Linked DNA regions of Caenorhabditis elegans. The protein of the gene in region 2 purifies or fractionates together with the protein of the main gene of each other region. This does not show direct contact. Each region holds a gene or a part of one and is shown on either strand. Other genes may lie near its edges. The genes, in order: tald-1, F40A3.3, cyn-1 and srlf-1.

What was found.
Region 1: the proteins of F40A3.3 (region 2) and tald-1 fractionate together in Caenorhabditis elegans (co-fractionation; one large-scale study listed by BioGRID). This does not show direct contact.
Region 3: the proteins of F40A3.3 (region 2) and cyn-1 fractionate together in Caenorhabditis elegans (co-fractionation; one large-scale study listed by BioGRID). This does not show direct contact.
Region 4: the proteins of F40A3.3 (region 2) and srlf-1 fractionate together in Caenorhabditis elegans (co-fractionation; one large-scale study listed by BioGRID). This does not show direct contact.

What each region holds. Positions count from the first base shown.
Region 1 is NC_003282.8:4,383,818-4,390,477, forward strand, and holds tald-1 (Transaldolase), read left to right. Parts: upstream 1-2,833; 5' UTR 2,834-2,840; coding exon 2,841-2,904; intron 2,905-3,615; coding exon 3,616-3,979; intron 3,980-4,364; coding exon 4,365-4,738; intron 4,739-4,790; coding exon 4,791-4,948; 3' UTR 4,949-5,063; downstream 5,064-6,660. Other genes in the region: F55F10.1 (Midasin), read left to right, coding at 393-857, 2,303-2,434; rpl-7A (Large ribosomal subunit protein eL8), read right to left, coding at 5,359-5,527, 5,582-5,933, 6,074-6,223, 6,520-6,643.
Region 2 is NC_003283.11:7,874,567-7,880,015, reverse strand, and holds F40A3.3 (Phosphatidylethanolamine-binding protein), read right to left. Parts: upstream 2,488-5,449; coding exon 2,474-2,487; intron 2,403-2,473; coding exon 2,307-2,402; intron 2,241-2,306; coding exon 2,126-2,240; intron 2,080-2,125; coding exon 1,624-2,079; downstream 1-1,623. Other genes in the region: F40A3.2 (EGF-like domain-containing protein), read right to left, coding at 1-172, 990-1,083; F40A3.4 (Envelope glycoprotein N), read right to left, coding at 3,313-3,457, 3,513-3,576, 4,098-4,167.
Region 3 is NC_003283.11:14,353,510-14,358,656, reverse strand, and holds cyn-1 (Peptidyl-prolyl cis-trans isomerase 1), read right to left. Parts: upstream 2,582-5,147; 5' UTR 2,577-2,581; coding exon 2,313-2,576; intron 2,250-2,312; coding exon 1,935-2,249; 3' UTR 1,836-1,934; downstream 1-1,835. Other genes in the region: Y49A3A.4 (ShKT domain-containing protein), read left to right, coding at 307-626, 1,302-1,399, 1,444-1,757; Y49A3A.3 (tRNA:m(4)X modification enzyme TRM13), read right to left, coding at 2,947-3,375, 3,422-3,672, 3,715-4,207; vha-13 (V-type proton ATPase catalytic subunit A), read right to left, coding at 4,739-5,147. UniProt on the Caenorhabditis elegans protein: PPIases accelerate the folding of proteins. It catalyzes the cis-trans isomerization of proline imidic peptide bonds in oligopeptides.
Region 4 is NC_003280.10:7,788,689-7,791,875, reverse strand, and holds srlf-1 (SXP/RAL-2 family protein Ani s 5-like cation-binding domain-containing protein), read right to left. Parts: upstream 1,285-3,187; 5' UTR 1,245-1,284; coding exon 924-1,244; intron 765-923; coding exon 630-764; 3' UTR 501-629; downstream 1-500.

The DNA.
Region 1 (6,660 bases), on a different chromosome or scaffold from region 2:
CGTCAATTAACCGAAAAATTGTTTTTTTTTCTTCAAAAAAGTGAGTTTTGAAGTAGATTAAAATTTTTTAATAAGAATTGCATTTTTTGATTTCTGAAAAAAGTATTTTTTCGAAATAATTGGCTAAAAATTTGATTTTTTGAAAATTCTGAAAATAAAAAAAAGTGGTTTTTTTCTTCGAATTTATTGAAAAAAAATGTTTATTCAAAGTTTTGGCGCTAAAAAATCAATATTTTTATCTATTGCCCGCTGAAATATTCAAAATTAGAAAATTTCAGTCAAAAACTGTCATTTTCAGTTCTAAAAATGTGGTTTTATATTCAGAAAAATTCAGAAATAGAAAAATATGATAATTTAAGTTTTAAAAAAATACAATTCTAATTTTCTTCCAGATCCTGATCGCCGTCGACGACTCCGAATCAATGAACGAGAACGGAATCCATCAAAACACTTGTGAATCCGTATGCATTGTGGAAGATGCTCTCCGACGTTGTGATGCTGGACGTGTCTCTGTGTGCTCATTCGGAGCCGACGTCAATACAATCATTCCATTCGGAGAAGCTTCGGCGAGCAGTAGCATTGAAATGCTCAAACAAATGACATTTTCGCAGAAGAAAACTGATCTTTTATTGCTCCTGAAAACTGCCAAGCAACAGCTCGACGAGATGAGAACGGGAACTTCTGAGCAAATGCTCATTGTGATTTCAGATGGAAGAGGTGCTTTATCACAGGGTGCTGATAAGGTTCGAGCTCTTTATTCGGCTCTTCAAGGTGTCACTGTGCTCTTTATTGTGTTGGATTCGGGAAAGAAATCGATTGAAGATCATACGGTTGCATCGTTTAAGGATAATAAAGTGGTACGGTTTTGTTTTAAGTAAAAATGTCCAAAAATTTCAAAAATCGTTTAGGAAAAAAATTTTTCAGATGTTATTTTGAACGATTTAATTTTTAAAAAACTAATAAATCGAATAAAATTGAAAAATCGATTTTTTTAACCCGAAAATTTTCTAAAAATTGATTCAGATAGAATTTCGCAAATTTTCATTCAAAAAATCACATTTTCAACATTCCAGGATTTTTTTAGCTAGAAATCGGGGCAATTTAGTGAAAATTTGCCAATTTTGGTTTAAAAAATCAACATTTTCACCCAAAACTTGTAATTGGCATGTTTAAAATTTCAAAATCAGACGATTTCAGTTGAAATCTGCTATTTTTGACTGGAAATATGTTTTTTTTCAAAAATATCCCAGTTTTAGATTATTATGGGTATTTTTTAAAGAAAAATCCAATTAAAAAAATATACATTTTCCATTTTATTTGAAGTTACACTCTGAAAAAAAAATTGTTTTCGAGGTGACGTAGCACCATGCATTTTCAACATTTTCCTCCAAAATTAGTGTCAAAGTATAGAAAATTAGTTGATTTATCTGAAAATGACATTTATTCGACTGAAAATTTGAGAAATTGCTCAAAAAAGGCCAGAAAGTTGACAATTGCCGAAATTAGTCAACTTTCAAGCCATTTCTGGGCATTTTCTCGAAGGCTTCAGCTGAAATTAATGTTATTTTCAAATAAATCGAGTGATTTTTCATATTTTTAAACTAATTTCAAGTTGTAAAAATGTTGGAACAACATGGTGCAACAGACCATTTTCTAGAATTGCCGCTCATTTAAAATACCCAAAAAATGTGTGAAATTTGATCATATTTGACTACAAAAAACGTTTTTTTTAATTTTAATTTTTTAAAAACTGGTAATTTTCCATTCTCGATATTGAACAAACGCCGAGGTTACGGTAATTATAGGATTTTCAGCAAAAATTTGCTTTTAAAATTACAAAAGTTTTTTTTTCGTTATTTCAGTCTTCTATGGCCGATTATTTGTATATTTTTAGGTCTGAAATTTAAATTTCAGTAGACTTTTTTGGCATTTTGACGATTTTCGCTTCAATTTTGACCTAAAAATCGATAATTTCACATTTTTAAATAATTTTTTGCGGAAAACTGTCTGAAAATGTGAGAAATTGTGTTTAAAATAATATTTAAAAAATGAAACAAAAAATTGAAACTAGGTCAAAATATTCGAAAGGAATTTCGCAAATAAATTTCAAAACTCAATAAATTTTCCAATTTTTGAAGATTTTTCCTTTTTTTCGTGTTAAAATTCCCAAAAAAATGTGTGAAATTTGATCATATTTGACTACAAAGAACAATATTTACTTTCTTTTTTTTCTCGAAAACCCCCCGATTCTCTTGCCATTTGCCCCCATAAAACTGCTGACAATTTCCAATTTTTCCTGCAGGTACTCACGCCATACCTCGCCCTGTTCCCGTTCCCATTCTACGCTCTCGTCAAATCAGTTCAACAACTACCATCGGTGATTGCCGAATCGATTCGTCAATGGTTCGAAATGACGACGACACATCATAGTTGAGAGGCTACAAACTACAGACTGCAAACTACACACATTTAGTCATATTCTTGTTTTTTTGTTACTACTTTACTTTATACCTTTTTATCATCATTTTTGTTACTTTTTTTCGAAAACTGTTTTTCTCACTTCCCTACTCCTTTTATCGTCATTTTTTTATGAGTTGTTACTTTTTTTTTGAAATTTTCCCCCTTTTTTGTTATTTTTTGTTCATTGTTCATTGTTTTCACATTGGTTAGTCGAATTATCATTATCATTATATCTATTAAAAATTTGAAATTTTTTTGATACGGTTTTTGTTATCTTTGATGCTATCAATGGGCTGCACTTTCCATTCGATCTCTCTCACGCGATTTTTCCCGTAATTTTCACGATTATTGATTTTTTTTTGACTTTTTCTAGGGAAATCATGTCGGTTTTGGAACAACTCAAAGGAGCATCAGTCGTTGTTGCGGATACTGGAGATTTTAATGGTAAAAATTTTGAACATTAAGAAAAAGTTCGAAAATGTGGTGAATAATTGATTTTTTTTGGCAGTTTTGAAAAAAAATTAAATTATCTGAAAATTCGATTTTTCTAGGAAGACCACTGTTATAATGTAAAAAACAGTAAATTTCTCGATTTTCAGATAGAAATCTGACTTTTTGAACTTTTTAAATTAATTTTTTTAGAGAAAAAAATACATATTTTCAAGAAGTTTCCAAAAAATTCGTTAAAACATTTTAAAAATAAATACTATTAAATTTTATGGAAGTATTGTAAATTTCTGGAATGTGCCATTTAAAAATTAGAATTTTTCAAAAATTCCAAAAAAAGCTGTGAAAAACTTTTTTTGGATAATTCGATGAATTCTCTTTTTTCTAAATTTTTGTAAATACTGGTGAAAAATATTTATTTTGAAAAAAATGTGTTTGCGCCTTTCAAAAGTACAGTACCCAGACGTTCCTTCAATTTCGTTTTTTTTTTCATTTTTCAACGTTTTCTCTCAAGAATTTAGATGAAAAGCGTGAAAAATTAATTTAAAAAATCAGGAAATGGGTTACTGTAAGTCTTAAAGGCGCACACCTTTGTTTTTTTCCTCGATTTTGTGTAAAAAGTCAAAAATCGAAAAATAAAACTCGAATTTTCCAGTTGAAAAAAGTACTTTTTTCAAAAATTGTTCTCAAAAAATCGATTTTTTTCAGCGATCAAGGAATTCCAGCCAACAGATGCAACTACCAACCCATCGCTCATCCTGGCCGCCTCAAAAATGGAGCAATACGCAGCATTAATCGATCAATCAGTTGCCTACGCAAAAGAGCACGCCAGTGGACATCAAGAAGTGCTCCAAGCGGCTATGGATCGACTTTTTGTAGTTTTTGGAAAAGAAATCCTGAAAACTATTCCAGGAAGAGTTTCCACAGAAGTTGATGCTCGTCTTTCATTTGATACTCAAGCATCGATTGATCGGGCTCTTGGACTTATTGCTCAATACGAGAAGGAAGGAATCTCGAAGGATCGGATTCTTATCAAACTTGCTTCAACTTGGGAAGGAATTCGGGCTGCTAAGTACGGCATTGGAGATTTTAGGAAAACTTTTCAGTTAAAAAACTTTTTTTTAAAAATCAAACTTGATGAAATTTTACCCATTTTTGATGATTTGCTTGGTTTAAAACACTACTAGTTTCGAAAAAATCAATTAAAAAACGAATTATACAAGATGAAATTGTTAAAAATTAACACATTTTAAATTAAAAACTAGAAATGCTTCGATTTTTCTTGTAAATCACCTAAAATCTACGGACATACCTTTTCGAAACATACAAAGTCTCGTTTCTATTAGTTTTCTACTGAAAATCTACTCAATTGGACCCAAATTGACATTTTTCAAAAGAGTTTAAGGCATTAATTATAACGGAAATAGTTCAAAATCAGCAAAAAATTAAATTTTCAGATTCCTCGAATCTAAGCACGGAATCCACTGCAACATGACACTGCTCTTCAACTTTGAGCAAGCAGTCGCGTGTGCCGAGTCAGGAGTCACCCTAATCTCGCCATTCGTCGGAAGAATCATGGATTGGTTCGTGAAGAATACCGATCAGAAGGCCTACACTCGAAAAGACGATCCAGGAGTTGTCAGTGTTACTCGAATCTTTAATTATTACAAGAAATACGACTATAAGACACAAGTGATGGCTGCCTCGTTCCGTAATACTGAAGAGATCAAGGGACTTGTTGGATGTGATCTTCTTACTATTTCTCCGGCTCTTCTGAAGCAACTTGCTGCGGAGACGGAACTTGCTCCAGTTGTGCTCTCCACTTCTCATGGTGAGCGGGAGATTTAATCAATTAAAAATTGCAATTTTTAATTATTTTCCAGCCAAGACACTCGACCTGCCGAAAGTGAGCATTGACGAGAAGGCGTTCAGATGGGCTCTCAACGAGGACGCCATGGCCACCGAGAAGCTCGCCGAAGGAATCCGCAACTTTGCCAAAGACGCCAGAACTCTGGAGAAGCTTATCGAGGCAAAGATCTAAATTGTATTGATTGATGTATTTGTCGTGCTTACTAGTTTTCCCCAATTTCATCAGTGTTGTGATTTCCCCTTAAATATTTCGTTACGTATTTTAATGAACCCTTATGTAATTTAAAGAGCACTGTAAAGGCAAGATACACAAAATAGCCGAACTCTTATCGCACTCTGCAAGTTTCTGGACAGTTGTGGCTGTGACACCCGGAATTGAACCCAACTAGAATTGTTCAGTGAAACCATATCGCAGACAACCAGCAAGCTCCAAGACAACGACGAACTAGGGAGACACTTCTCGGGAAAACTGTTCTCAACAATATCCAACAAGACCGATCCAAATGAGTACCACGAAGACTACCAATTATTGAAAAAGATACAAGCTTTGAATAACAAGTTTTTATTATCAACAAAAACAATTTAGAGCTTTCCAAGATCACGGGCACGAGCGCGCTCGATCTTGAGCTTCTTGGCATCAGACTTGGCGGACATGACACCTCCTCCCCAGTGCTTGCGGATCTCCTCGTGACGCTCGCTGAAGTTGTTGTTGACGGTCTCGACGAGCTTGTTCAAGGCAGATTTGTCCTCTCTGAATACAAAGAAATAATTATTTGCTCAAGAAACTATAGAATCTGAAACTTACGGGTTGACATCGACGAGAGCAACAGCGGCGGTGGTCTTTCTGCGGACGACGGTTCCGAGGGAAGCCTTTCCCTTGATGATGGCGTATGGAACGTTGTACTTTCTGCAGAGGGCTGGAAGGTGGAGCACGATCTCGAGTGGGTTGACGTCGTGAGCGATGAGAACCAATTGAGCTCTGCGGGTCTCGACGAGTCTGGTGATGGTGTTGACTCCGTGGCGAACGGTGTTTGGTCTCTTGGTGACCTCCTCCTTCTTTCCAGCAGCGCGAGCCTCGGCACGAGCACGGAGACGGTTCTTCTTGGCCTCGGTCGACTCCGGGCGGTACTTGTCCAAGAGCTTGAAGGCTTGTCTAGCTGAAAACAGAAAATTACCACTGGAAACATAACAGCGTAAAGTCAAAAGCCTTACTTCACCTATCAGAGTAAATGCGTCAGTGCAAAGCTCAAGGCTTGCTTATAGTACATGACTCTGATAAAAAATTAGCTATACCAACCGGACTGGCTGTCAAGAGCGGTTCTGAACTGGTTGATGGTTGGTGGAACCTTCAGGCGCTTCTGGAGAATGGCGGATTGACGCTGGAGACGGATGTACTTTGGCCATTTGACGAATCGGGTGACGTCCTTCTTTGGCTGGATGTCTTGTCCTGTAAAAAGATTTAATTATAATAAAATCTTGGAACGTTTTTAGGATATTTGTAATTTGCATGGTTTGTCCTAACCGTCACGGACCCATAGGATCTACGGAAGGATAAGGAATATGCAATCCAGCCCGGGCATCTCAAATAGCGGTAGAGGGCCACACAGACTGTTGGTATACGACAAGGTGGATCGGAGTCAACTTTACAGAAAGCCCCCGATGCTCCACTAAGAAAAGCAATCAACCCCGAAGAGGATCGCTAGTCACATGTCGAGAGAAACTACGAATTGTTTCGAAACGTACCGATGTTGAAGTTGCGAGCTCTCTTCTCGAAGAGTGGGTTCTTCACTTCCTTCTGGACTTGAGTTTGGGCACGAATGTGCGCCGGAACAGCGGCGACTTTCTTCTTGATAACCTTCTTGCTAGGCTGAAACAGGAAAATTA
Region 2 (5,449 bases):
TCATAATTTGGCATTCCATTTCCATGACAGTCAATGATGTCACAATCGGTACCCGCCCATCCGAGTTCACACTCAATACAACTTCCATTCTGAAGGCGTTCGAATCCAGAACAGTACATTTTGCGATGGCATAGTGTACCCGTCCAGCCTTCGATACAGTAACAGCGGTCACCTAGAAAGTATGATTTTTCAACTTTTGGATGTTTCAGGTGATTTTCGAACACCGCCGATTATATAATTGGGTCTCGAACGGATTTTACAAGAGCATTCTCTACAAATTTTGAGAGTGCGCCTTTTAGGTTGTATTGTGGAAATTTCTATTTAATATTTGAATTTTCCACGTATGTAACTCATCCACAACTTTTCAAAAAGTTGTTTTCAAAATACATCTTTTCAGGCATTTTTAAACCTAAAATTACGGTACCTGCTTTTGCCACGAACGATATATTTTCTAATTGAGGCATTTGAGGCCGCGAACGTTAGCGCCTTTAAGAAGTACAGTAATAACACTTACCTAGTTTTATTCAAATTTTCCGAAATTAAATAGTTTTGTTATTTTCTTTTGTGTTAGTCCAGTTCTTCAACAAAACCATGCTTTTGGTAAAAAAACGTAGCAAAAATACCGTATTATTTAAAAACGCATACGATCCCGCATGGTCATTTGAAAATATTACGTTCGTGGCGGTACCTGTATTTTTTTAAAGTAGTTTTTAAGTAGTTTAATTGGAATATTTTTTGTATAAACGTTTTCATTCCGTTTTTTGAGAAAGTTTTCTTATTTTGAAAACTAAAAGAACGAAAAATTCAATGAATGTTAAGAAGAATAGAATAAATTCTAGAAACAGGGCAATAAATGTATCCGGTTTTCACCTTTTATTTTCAAATTTATTCTACAAAACCTTTCGATTTTAATTCTAGGTTTCTCATGTCATACATCAAATTTTCTAATTTGAAATTTATATGTTAGCCCTGAAAGATTTATTAATCACCTTCAGGAGTTCCATTGATACATGGCTTCTTCTTGCGGAGAACGCAGGCTACTAAAACAATTAGTATAGCGGAGAGAAGAATCCTCCGAAGCATTTTCTGCTGCAGCAATTACCTCAACAAAAAACCTGTGTGTTTTTCTTTTTCTGCCCTTAGTTCAACTTTAGTTTCAAAGTCAAGTGGGTGCAATTAGGTAAAATATCGGAGAAGACAAGAAAGAAATTAAGAAAATTTTTGGATTCGAAGAAAGACACTGGAATCAATTTGGAAAACGGAAAAGAAATTGGAGAATTGTATTGTAAATAGACTGTGGATGAGAATGGAGGGTTAACATGATAACCTGCGAGCGAAGAAGACAGAAATTTGGAAGTCGTCGGCGTCAGAGAGAAGAAAAATGAGAAGAGACGAGAATGTCGAAATGGGAGAATTCGAATGGCCACTGCCTGGTAATCAGTAACGATGATTGGAGGACGGATAGGGAGAGAAGATAACAAAGTTAGAATCGTCTGAAGATTGCGATTTGTTTATCATCGTTTCATCAAATTTATTTACTTCTTGGATAGGAAAAAACTGGCTGATAGAAAATCACAATATAAATTACAAACTTTGTATTTAGCAATTTTACAGAAGAACAACTCATGCTCCGAGTTGCTTGTTGAGAATTGGCACGTAGTCGTCGTACTCGGCCTGGAACAGATTTCCGAAGACTGGAGCACCGAGCTTGTGCTTTGCGACGAAATCGGCAGCCTTCCATCCTCCTCTTTTGTCTCCGGAAGTGTTGGTTAGACGTCCGTGCTCGGCATCTTCGATGCGTCCAGATTGCTTGTAGATCAGGTAAACGTAACGATGGAGTCCAGTTTTTGGTGGTGGTCCGGCGCCGATGTACTCGGAAAGAGTGTCTCCTTTGGCAATGTCGTTTCCTGGAATGTTGACGACGAGCCAGTGATGCCACTCTCGGTAGGTTGGCTCTTTGCGAGATGGAGCATCTGGATCCGTCTTGATGAGAGTGTAGAGTGCTCCTGGCTCAGCATCCCATTTTACTTCTGGAGTATCCTTTACTTGGGTTGGAGTGAGAACGTTTCCAAGATTAGCCTGAAAACATTTTTAAACATTTTTAAATTTCTTTTTTTTGAATTACCTCGACGCCAGAGTTGAACTTGACAGACACAACCTTGGATGGTGGGTTGGAAGCGAGAACGTCTGGAATGACCTCGTGTTTGGTGAATGCTTCGGCGGCCATTGTAGCGAGACCTCTGAAATAAACAAAAAGGTTTAGTTGAATAAAAAAATTGGAAAAGAAGAAAAATATGAACGAAAACCTTTGGAATCTAGCAGAAGTAGTTGCGGCAGCGAATGGAGCTCTAGAAGCAAAAAATAAGGCGGGGAGCAGAGATCTCGTTACCAGGACGACCATCCTTAATTTATTTTTTTATTATTTTCTCACGCGAAAGAAAAACAATACAATCAATTAGTTTTCACTACATACCGATGAGAAATCATGTTTTGTCAGAAGACAAAATATCAGGAATGGATGCAAACAACGAAACATGTCGAGAGAAACTTATTTAGGTCGTGTCAGAACGAAAATTTATTATTTGAGAATGTAAAAGATATCAATTTGAACATCGAAAGCTTTTTTCTCGGTTTAAATGGCGATAAAAGTGAAGAAAAAATTTAAAAAAAAACAGCGAATTAATTATTAAAATGTATATCTTGCCCACGAGTAGTACGGAGCTAACTCGTGGCGAGACCTTACTAAAAAATCCTGGATGCGCCTTTAATAAATACCTAAAGTTACTGTATTATTTATTATTTTCGCAAACATTTTCATTTAAAAATGAATTTTCGATCAGATAACAGTTTTGAAATCATCAAATTTATTTACAAAAAAATCTTCGGTTCACATTAATACGGGCGCAGCGCCTGCAACGGAGTTTCGTTGTTCTCTGCGTCTCGCTGCACTTTTCCTGTCTAACTGTCAACACATAATTGTAATGTTTGTGTCTTTTGGAGAAATGTTAAATTAAAAATCGACTAGAAAAGTGAAAAAAAAACTGGTTTCAGAAAACATCGAAAAAAATGATAAAATTACGGTACCTCTTTAAAGGTACAGCCTGGTTTCAAAAGGTTTCATGGCCTTATACAAAAACCTTATACAAATTATTAGGTCCAAAATCGCTGATTTTTCTTCGCTTTTACATAAAAACGACTAAAATCAGCCATAATTGTTAGATATTCTGCATAGTTCAAAAATTTATTGGTACACAAGGCAAGACCCATAACAAAACGTATTCTATCGAAAATTACAAAATTCTTAAATAATGTTCAAATTTCAATGGGATGACTTTTTCGATTCGAGTGCAGTGGAGATCTCTCCTCGTTGTTGGCACGGCGACAATGAAAGAAACAAATGAGAAATACGGCAATGATGATGAGAGCTATCACGATGAGCAATAAGGCGACGACCATTCTGAAAAAATGGGTCTCACCAAGAAGAATATTAAGAATGAATTGAAGGAACTAACCGATAGATTCCATCGACGGTTTGATGAATTTTCCTAGTTGTGTCATAGTTGTCATAGATTATTCCTGAAAAAAAAATTAATTTTTTGTAATTGTCTCGAACTTCTTTTTAAAAACAGTTTTCACTCAACAAAAATGCAAAAAACATGTGTAACTTCGCGGCTCTTGGGGACATGGACTAACTTGAGATTTCAGGAATTTTTGACTATTTTTTTTAGTAAATCTTCAGAAATAATTGATTGAAAAAGAAGCAACTGAAAATTAGAAATTGTTGTCCGGATATAGTGACGTCATACTAAATTTACCGTGCGACACCAGTGGAAAAATAAACGAGTATAAATTGTTTTTTTTAATTACTGGTTTAAGATCAAAAGGAAAAGGTGCAGTGTGCCGATTCAATACATCACATTTTACGAGCAAATGTTTGATTTCCAAAAAAAATTAGTGCGTCAAATTTTACAAAAAAAGAATAATTCACCCTCACGCGTACAAATTATTAGTATCTCATCACAAAATCCACATGCACCAAAGCACATTTTCGTTTCTACTACAGTACACTTTTGACTAACCGTCCGCAAAAAGAATACCTAAAAGACCATTAAGAATGGCTTTCTGCTCCTCACGAATCGATGAACTATAACTATCCATTCGCGACATGGTTTGTTGTTTTTTGTTTCTTGTTTGGAGAAAACTGATGATGGACGAGTTCACGGACGACACATTTGATCCTTTTTCGCCGGAAACTGCAAAAAAAAGTTAGAGGAAATTGGATAAAAAATAAGAGGAGGTCAAATGAAAACGAAATGAGTTCGAAATATAGAGGGTATTTTGGATAAAAATGAAATTGAGAGAGGGATTACTTTAAAAGTGCAAAGTCACTTTGACACGTTTTTTTTCGTTTTTATAAATTAATATTGAAGATCTGTTAAAAGCAGTTTATGTACCGTCACAGGTAATCTAGAAATATCTTTGAATTTAAAATTAATTATTCAGACAGTCTAGGTAAATAATGTTGCTATTTTTAGTCGAAATGCCAAAAAAAAACTCATCAATTTGTCCTATGTAAATAACTTCAAAAACGTTGATGAATTCTGTGCAAGCATCAGAGTTCAAACCTAAATTACAGGCAGTAGGCATGCAGGCATAAAGATGCGCCTACTAACTTTTTAATAATTAAAATCAACCAGCAAGCAATTTTCCTATTATTATATGTTCAGCTCACCAAACCCTAGTCTCAGTTTCAACCCGCACTGATATTGTCGAAAATACGCAAAATGCCAAATTAGTGCTTTAAAGCAGGTGTCAAATTGAATCAGCTATATCGCGCAAAAAAATACTGATGTTTGTGGAGAAAAAAAACGCGAGAAGAAAAAAGTAAACTATTTCTCCATACTCTAGAAATTCTGGTGGACGGATTTCTTTTTTTGTTTGCTCAAGAAAAATGTGGGGGGTCTAAGGAGATATCTGGCAGGAGGATACATTTTAAATTGGGAATCGGATGATCTAATTGGAGAATCGGGTGCTAGTTTTTGACAGGTTTAATTGATGGAAAAGAAGTGTTGAATTTTTGGTGAATTTTGGTTCGGTTGAGACAATTTTAAGTTTTTGTTCTCAAGAAAAAGGGTATGCGTTTCAATTTAAAAAAACATTTGGTTTCATTTTTCGAAATTTGATACTTTTCACCATTAAATTTGTTTTCAATAGTTGCCATTTTTTGGTTTATTGTGTTGATGATGTATGTTTTCTGGATTCAATTTGAGCTTTAATATTTAAAATCACAATTTTTGGTAAAATATGTACAAATATCAAACATGTTATCAAAAATGTTATGAAACAAAAGAATTTTGAAATCCAAGGAATGTTTTATAAATTTTGAATTAAACTTTAAACGGTCTGATCGGAAGTATGAAACTTTTTACTGCTAAAGAAAACATTTTTA
Region 3 (5,147 bases), 6.5 Mb from region 2:
ATGTAGTTGTTTCCCACCCCCCCCCCCCCCCGTCTATTAAATTTGGAAAAAAGGATCCTGAAAGGGATCCGAAAAACTTCATATTTTGAAGAAACCTTTAGTCCAAAACAAAAAGTTTCTGTTGAACCCGCGTTTAGATGTAAACCAATTGTACAAACAAGTGCTACTGTTGTTCTTTTCGATGCACGCTCACTCTTTTGTACATTTCTTTCTATTCGAATCTGAACTCTGGACAAACAAAAATGGAATCTCTTCACCCGAAAAGGGTCGTGCTCTTTCTATAGTCTATTCGAATACTTTTCAATAATGCTTCAGCTATTTTTATCCATTTCTCTAGTATTTATCCATACAGTTTTGTCTGAAAAATGTGCAGATGCACATCATGATTGTAGATTGATTGCTGTTAAATGTTTATCACCCAATCGAATAGAACAGAAGCTTATGGAAATTGCTTGTCCTCTTACATGTGGATATTGTATTAATTCTAAAACTGGTGGAACAACTACAAGTACAGTACCCACAGATGAGATTATCAAACCATTCAAATGTATTGATGAAGCTGATGATTGTGCAGATAGAGCCAATTTTTGTCAGAGAAAGTTCTACAAACGCATGATGAGTTTACAGTGAGTTTTTGTCTCATTTTTCTCCAGCAGCAAATTTTAGGAATTTTGCGCCAATACGGTACCCGGTCTTGGCACGACATGTATTTTCTTGTAAAAATTTCAATGTAAAAACACGTGCGGTTTTAAGGAGTACTGTAATTTAAACATGTATTCTGTTTTCATTGATTTTTCAGTTTTTGTTTAAAAAAAATTTTTTTAATAGAGTTTTCTTTTTAACTAAAAAACTGTAAAAATCGATCAAAATTCCCCAGAAAACCCGAATTATAGTACTCTTGAAAAGCGCACGCCTTTTATGGTGCGTCCATAGTCTGCGGAAAACGGGAAATTCCCGCTTGCGGAAGCGTCCATAGTCTGCGGAAAAAAACAAGGAGTTTCTCGCTTTGTTATTGGTCAATTTCAAAATAGTGGGCGTGTTCAACCAATTAGGGGCTGTAAAATTTTAAGCTGAGCAATGGGAAAACAAGAAACAACAGCTGATTGGTTGGCCACTCCTACTTTTTTGAACTTTGAGGAAAAAAAAAAGCGAGGAACTCCGGTTTTTCCGCAGACTATGGACGCTTCCGCACGCGGGAAATTCCCGTTTTCCGCAGACTATGGACGCACCATTAAAATTAACAAAAATTTGTCGCGTCGAGGCCAATTAGTGTATTATTAACTTTTTAAATGCAATTTCAGATGTGCAAAAACCTGCAAATTTTGTGTTGACGATGACGAGTACGAAGAAGAGGAAACAGAGGATAGCCGGGAAATTCATATTTCGCATTTGAAATCCAGTAAGCTTCTTCCGACCTGTTTAAACATATTCTGAAATATTTAGAAATGGGTGAAAAAACTGTTCAAAAATTGGAAGAGTTGAAAATAGTTGACAATGTGATTGATCTTCTGAGAAATGCAACAACTCCCACGACGTTCATGGAAAAGAAACCGCGAAGGTTCTCGAAAAGAATTGAAAATATCTCATCGGAAATGACTGATACTGCAGAATGCGTGGATCGAGCATCAGATTGTGAGAGGAATCAGAAGTTGTGCACACATAGAGCCTATTCTCCACTTTTTCGTAAAATTTGTGCGAAGACGTGTGAATATTGTACATCGGCAGATGATATTGAGTCTTCTGGTGAATTTTTATAGACCATTGCTTTTGCTTTTCACTTTTCTGGTAGAAAATAAATCTGTAAGACTTAATTTTTTCCAGTTATTTTTCGAAAAAAAACTAAAACTTTACTAATTAAAAACAATTAATTAAAAAATAATAACAATTTGCTAACGCTAATGAAAAATATTTTTGAAACAAAAAAAACAATGAAGTTACTCGCTCTTCAACTCTCCGCAATCGGCGATTGTGACAGTCTTGGCTGGGGCTCCGGATCGGGATCCCATCTTTTCGATCTTCTTCACAACAGACATGCCGTCGGTGACTTGTCCGAAAACGACGTGACCTCCATCAAGCCATGGAGTGTCGACTGTGCAAATGAAAAACTGAGATCCGTTGGTGTTTGGTCCAGCGTTGGCCATTGAAAGGCATCCTGGTCCGGTGTGCTTAAGATCGAAATTCTCGTCCTTGAATTTATTTCCGTAGATTGATTCACCACCAGTTCCGTTGTGGCGAGTGAAATCTCCTCCCTGAAGAATTGAATAATGTTAATGAAAAATAGTTAAAACTCATAGTTCGAAACTAAAAATTACCTGAATCATGAACTCTGGAATGATTCTGTGGAATTTTGATCCCTTGAAGTGAAGTGCAACTCCTTGCTCTCCGACGCCCTTCTCACCGGTGCACAATGCGCGGAAATTCTCTGCTGTTTTTGGGACAACATCGTTGAACAACTCCATGGTGACACGTCCTGCTGGTTCTTCTCCAATACTCACGTCGAAAAACACCTTCGGTCTTTGAGAGGCGAATCGAAGTGATTGACCGGCAAGTGAGGAGGCACGGAGTAGAAATTTCATTTTACCTGAAAAAAGAAACAAAACTAATTCAAAAACGTGCAGAACAAAGCCATAGGATTGAATTTAAAGTGAAAAAGAAAATAAAATAAATACTAATCTGACAAAGCGCAATCAAATTCTTTGCTTGCGCGTTTCTCGTGCACGCGAAAAACGCCAAGAGATTTGCGAGGTAATTCAAATAATAACAATTTTTGTCAAATATCCCACCGTACTATTTAAAGGCGCGTGGTTTAGAATGTGTAGGTATCGCATAGATTCTAATTTTTGTTCGAAATTAATAAAATTTTGTATATTTATTTGATTAAATGTTCAATTTGTTTCGATCTATTTATTAAAAAATATTACAAATCATTTTATTAAATGCGTGATCTTATTTCAAAGCTAAAATCAATAAATTTTCCGGTGATACTTCTGGCGGCACGTATTCTACAACTCTCGTCTTGAATCCAACACTTTCCAGCCAAATTGCTCGTCCGATTTCAAGGATGGCTTTCGCTCTTCGTCCAAGCTCTAATGGCGGATGAATTGACTTCCATCCTTCAGTTGCTTCTGTATCAACTGCTCCATTTGTTGCAAACGATGCAATATATCGAAGTGCAGCAAACGAAGCTTCATCATTCATTTCCCATTTCTCCAAAAAATCATGTCCTCCATATTCTGCGAATCGCGATTTGTGATGGCAACAAGGGATCAGAAGTGCAGCGTTGAATTGTAGACCACTATTCATCAACGATCGAATTCCAGCGTCTGTCGCGCTTCCACAAAAATGTTTACAGATTGCCAAAATCTTTTCAGAGTTCTAAAAAAAGATAAAGATTTTTTTGGATAAAAACTGTAAAACTCACCTTCAGCTCATCAATCTTGCTCAAGTCCATATGTTCAATTGAGCATCGGAAGCGTTTCATTGATAAATTCGGATTCTCTCGAAATGCAGCAGTATCAAATTTATTTCGTGATCCAGAGCGATCCATGAGAATATAATTTCCATTTGGCGCTGCTTTGGAGATCCAATAAGCTAGTTGACCTTTTCCAGCTCCGAGCTCGAACATGCAAGATTTGGAGCAAGTTGGAAGTAGCCCTGTGGATTCGATGTGACCTGAAAAGAAAATTATTAAAATGGAAATGCATTTTATAAAACCTAAAATAGACGAAATCTGGTATAATTGCTTCTTTTTCGTGTTGTTCAGATCTGAATTTTGTGCGATATTTTGCTCGACGAGCTCATTTCTTTGTTGCTCAACAATCAAACGATCCATTACATCCGTCTCATAGCACTTCCAGATCTTGTGCACAGTGGTACAAATCTCATCTTCAGTGGCTCTTCGATCAATTTTATCGGTGCGTTTGGTCTCGCCACGAATAGAATTTGCATCAATTTTGATATATTCTGCATCTCTGATTCTAGAATTACACCTTGTCAGATGAATCTCTAGATCTGCCTTCAGAATCGTATGTTTTCCATCATTCGGGCAAACCATACGATCAGTGTTATTCTGATCGTGAATTGAATGCTCTCCACAGAACCGATTTCCCTTTTTCACCAGCATCTTACACCGTCGCTTCTTAATTGGTAGAATATATTCACAGCAAGCGTTCTGCTGTTGTTGCTGCTTCACCGAATCCAATTCCATTTTGAAAACGAGACCTGCGTGCGAGATATTTGTGATTTTCCTAAAGTTTATTGCTATAGTTGAATTGGTGTGTCTCAAAAGTATTATACATATCACAACACAGTAAAACGTGGTTCGTAAGACTATACGGGTTGGTTGTCGCAAAAAAAGAAATGGAAGGGCACAAGTAAAGTAGTCTATTCAACAAGAAGAATACCAAAAATATTGATTAATATAAGTGAAATTGTTGTTTAAAACGGGAGTTGTAAGGCGACCAGATACATTGTGTGTGGTTGGAATTTTTTGAAGTTTAGAAATCTACAAAAGAGAAAAAAGGTGCAATAAATATCTGAAATTTGGAATGTCAAATCAATCAAACACTTTAAAGAGGATAAAAGTAGAGAAAGGAGGCGAATTGGGTGAGGGGATCAAGGAAAAACATATACTTTTAACTAAAAAGTACACGCTCAGCAAAACTGAACAGAATCTAGCGGGGAGGCGAAAACAGAAACAAACAAGAGAATCAATTTTAAAATTTCTAAAAACATTAATTTAATCCTCGAGGTTTCTGAAAGCGTTAGCCATAGCCTCTGCCAAATCTTCGTAATCCTTGCGAATCTTGGCTTCACCATCGGCAACTGGATCCTTGAATTTCATGGCAGAAAGCTGGTAGATCAAATCTCCCATGCTATCCTTGATGACGTTCCATGTGATCTTGTTATCAGATTGAGCAGTTGCTTCAACAGCATGACGGGCCAAGTCATAGAATCCAATCATATTCTTGAGCATACCGACAGTCTTGTAGAATGGGCAGAAACGATCGTATTTGGTGTATCCGTTCTGTTGCAAGAAATCGTCCTTGATGATCTTGGCAACCTCAAGTGTGACCTTGTCTGATTCGGCGAGGGAAGCTTTTCCGACGAGTTGCACAATTTCGGAAAGATCTTCTTCTTCCTGGAGG
Region 4 (3,187 bases), on a different chromosome or scaffold from region 2:
AGTCTGGAACACAATTGGGAAACAAATTAAGTTTGATTGAAAAAAGAAGAGAAAAGGGTCATCACAAATCAGAGATTGTGAGACCTTGAACTTAAAGTGATAGTCTCTCGTACTTTTCTTCATATGGAGAATATCACGGAGTAGAGAAAATAATATGTTTTTGGAAGTAGAATCGATCATTTGAAAACTTTAAAACAATAGTTATGAAGCCGTGTTTTTTATCTCTAAAAGCTTTATTTTGTTCATACCATGAAATATTTTTATTTGACAGTGTCCAGTTTACTACGATTTAAAAATTTTCAGTTTCAATGTTCAAAAAACTGAACTTGAGCACTTTTTCTACACAATATCCTAAGTACTAGTATGCGCAAACAAACAGGTTTGTGTCAACTTTACCGCTCAGTCATTCATAAAAAGTGTACATCCAATCTAAACATAGATACACATGCCTATACTGAATATTCTAGTTTTTATATGTTTGCTAGTTTCAATTGAAATTTGAAGAGCATCACGATTTTTATTAGAATTAGAGCTCATTTGGGCAAAAAGGGAATCAATCGAATGAGAACGAGAGAATGAGTGAGGGTATTTACAAAAAAAAATTGAGAGGTTCTTTGGTTGATCAGCACTTATTGTCCTTGGGCCTTCTCGAGCTCAGCCTTGACGTTAGCTGGGAGGGAGTTGAGGTAGGCTTGGATCTTTTGTCCCTTGGCTTGAACAGAGAGGGAGCTGTCATTGGAGATGGCGGTAAGGTCAGCATCGGCCTGAAAGAAATTGAAAAGATTAAAATTGATACTTTGGTTTTATTCCGAAAACTAGTAGATGTAGTATTTGCAGTGCTAGTACAAATCCGACTAGTTTATCTGATTTTACTTTTACGTAATATATGGCTTAATCTAGTTGGTTTATCCACATTATCTTACTTTCTTGGCAGCTGGAGAGAAGTTGGAAACAGCGGCTTGATGAGCAGCCTCAGCTTGTCCCTGTTGTCCCTTGATGAATTTTTGGAAGTCAGCCCAGTCAGCAGCAACCTTTCCTCCTTGTTGGTTAACCCAGGCTTGGACCTTTCCGTCAAGAGCGGTCTCAGTCAAATGACCGTTGGCTTGAATGAGCTGTTGGAAGCTCTGAAGTTGAGCTGGAGTGGCATTACGAAGGAATGGTGGAACATCTTGACCTCCGGCTGGTTGTCCGTAGACAGACACAGCGGCGACGGCGAGAAGAGCAAAAACGGCAAGACGGCACATTTTAAGTGAATCAGAAAGAGTATTAGAAGACGACTGATGAGGGATGTCCAGCAGAAATAGTTTCTTTTATACAATCGACGCTCATAGTCATTTCTCTCTCCCTCTCTATCTCTATCTCTCTCTCTGTGCCGCCCTTTCGCTCCTCCCACACGTAGATCATAGATGAGACAGTATGGAGACATAGAGAGATACAGTGTGTTCGCTGAAGTTGACCAGTTTTCCGATGGAAAATCGCTGAATTTGAAACTTTTTCAACACAATAAAGAAGCCGTAGTGACGAATAAATTTAGAATATTGGAACAGAAGTTAAGAAAGACGTCATTGAGATAGAACGCGGACAGAGGTTCTCATGATTTTTTAAAATTCCGTTACAGATTCGATTTTCATTCTGTCTTCTTGTAACTGAACTGTTGTGTTGAAAGTCACATATCAAATATCTGGATTTCGTGAAAAATGAAAGGCTCGGAAATAGTAACTACTCTTGGAGTGTGATCAAATATTTCACTCTACAAAATACAAAAGTTAAAAAAAATATTTTTTAGTTGTCTCGATTCGAAATTAAAACTCCTTTCCCAACAAGTGAAATGACTTGCGAAAAAGTACTCTAGAACTATTGCATGGAAAATTTTCCCAACTTTTTCAAAACCTAGTGTTTTTCAGTCGATTTACCGGCCTTTTGCTTTTTTTAAATGATTTTATCATTATTCTTCATTTCCTTTTCCCTAACCATCATCAATATGAAACGTCTGACCTTTTGTCGGTATCTATCAATACGAAGATCTATCTTTACATCTTTCTCGTCTCATTTTAACACTTTCCTCAATGACATCATTCATCTTTTTAAGCTTATCATAGAAATGAAATAAGGTAAAATTTGAAACAAAAGGTGTTGTTTGTGTAGCCTTGAACTCATTTTTCTCTTTTCAGTATATTTTATTATCCGTTTTATGTGTATCATCTTCGAGGTTTTTCCATCTAAAATCGTAGTACCAATCCGTTTTCTTTCCTGTTTCTGCCTTCAGTCGATCCCATTTTATATCCTTCGATCACTTCCTGATATGGAAATAAAACTGTCGGTTCCTCCTTTTCTTGACTTCTTCATTTTGTCAAGCACCAACATTCTGTGGTTTCAATGACAACTTCTGATTTGTTCCAATGATCGAAACATATCTTTAAATGCTACAAGTCAGAATGGAAAGATGGTCAGAAGGTGTATCGAACAATTAAGTTTAAACTGAAAATGAATCGAATTTCTGACAACCAGCTTGATCTGTACAGCTCTAGACTTATGTATCTACCAAAACGTAATTCTAATTAGAACGTTTTGTTATGATCTATTTTTCTTGAGAATTTTCGTGAGTTAGACTACTATTCAAAACACAATTTCATTATTTATCCTTTAACATTGTATATGCCCTCGGAAACCTACACTTTCCTTCATTCAGATATTATCTCTAGTTTTATGACGTGGTCATCCATAAACATGTAAACGTCATTGTTTCTTTGTTCAGTTGATGTGCCAAATATGTACAAACGGACCATTTCTTTATAGGCGACATAAATCTTTTCGCTGACCTATCTAACAGAATATAACCTCAAACTACGTTTTCCCATATACCGACCGAAAACCAATGAAATTAAATCTGAGAGTTCGGGAATGTATACTTGATGAATGAATGCCGAAAATCAAAAAAAAAGAGAAAACAAACAGGGCTGATCGTTGAGAGTAGAAAGAGTTGAAATACAAATAAACTTACTACTGGAATCCTTCAACTTTTCGCACATTGGACATTTCTGCTCCTGCAGAGCACAACGAATGTAATTTAAGTGTTTGGGTGAAAGTAAAACTAGAACATTCCATTCAGATGGGAAAACAAAGAACATTAGGTGTATCTCTACTGACTGTAAATATGTGGAATTTAGTTTACAATAAATACTCATAC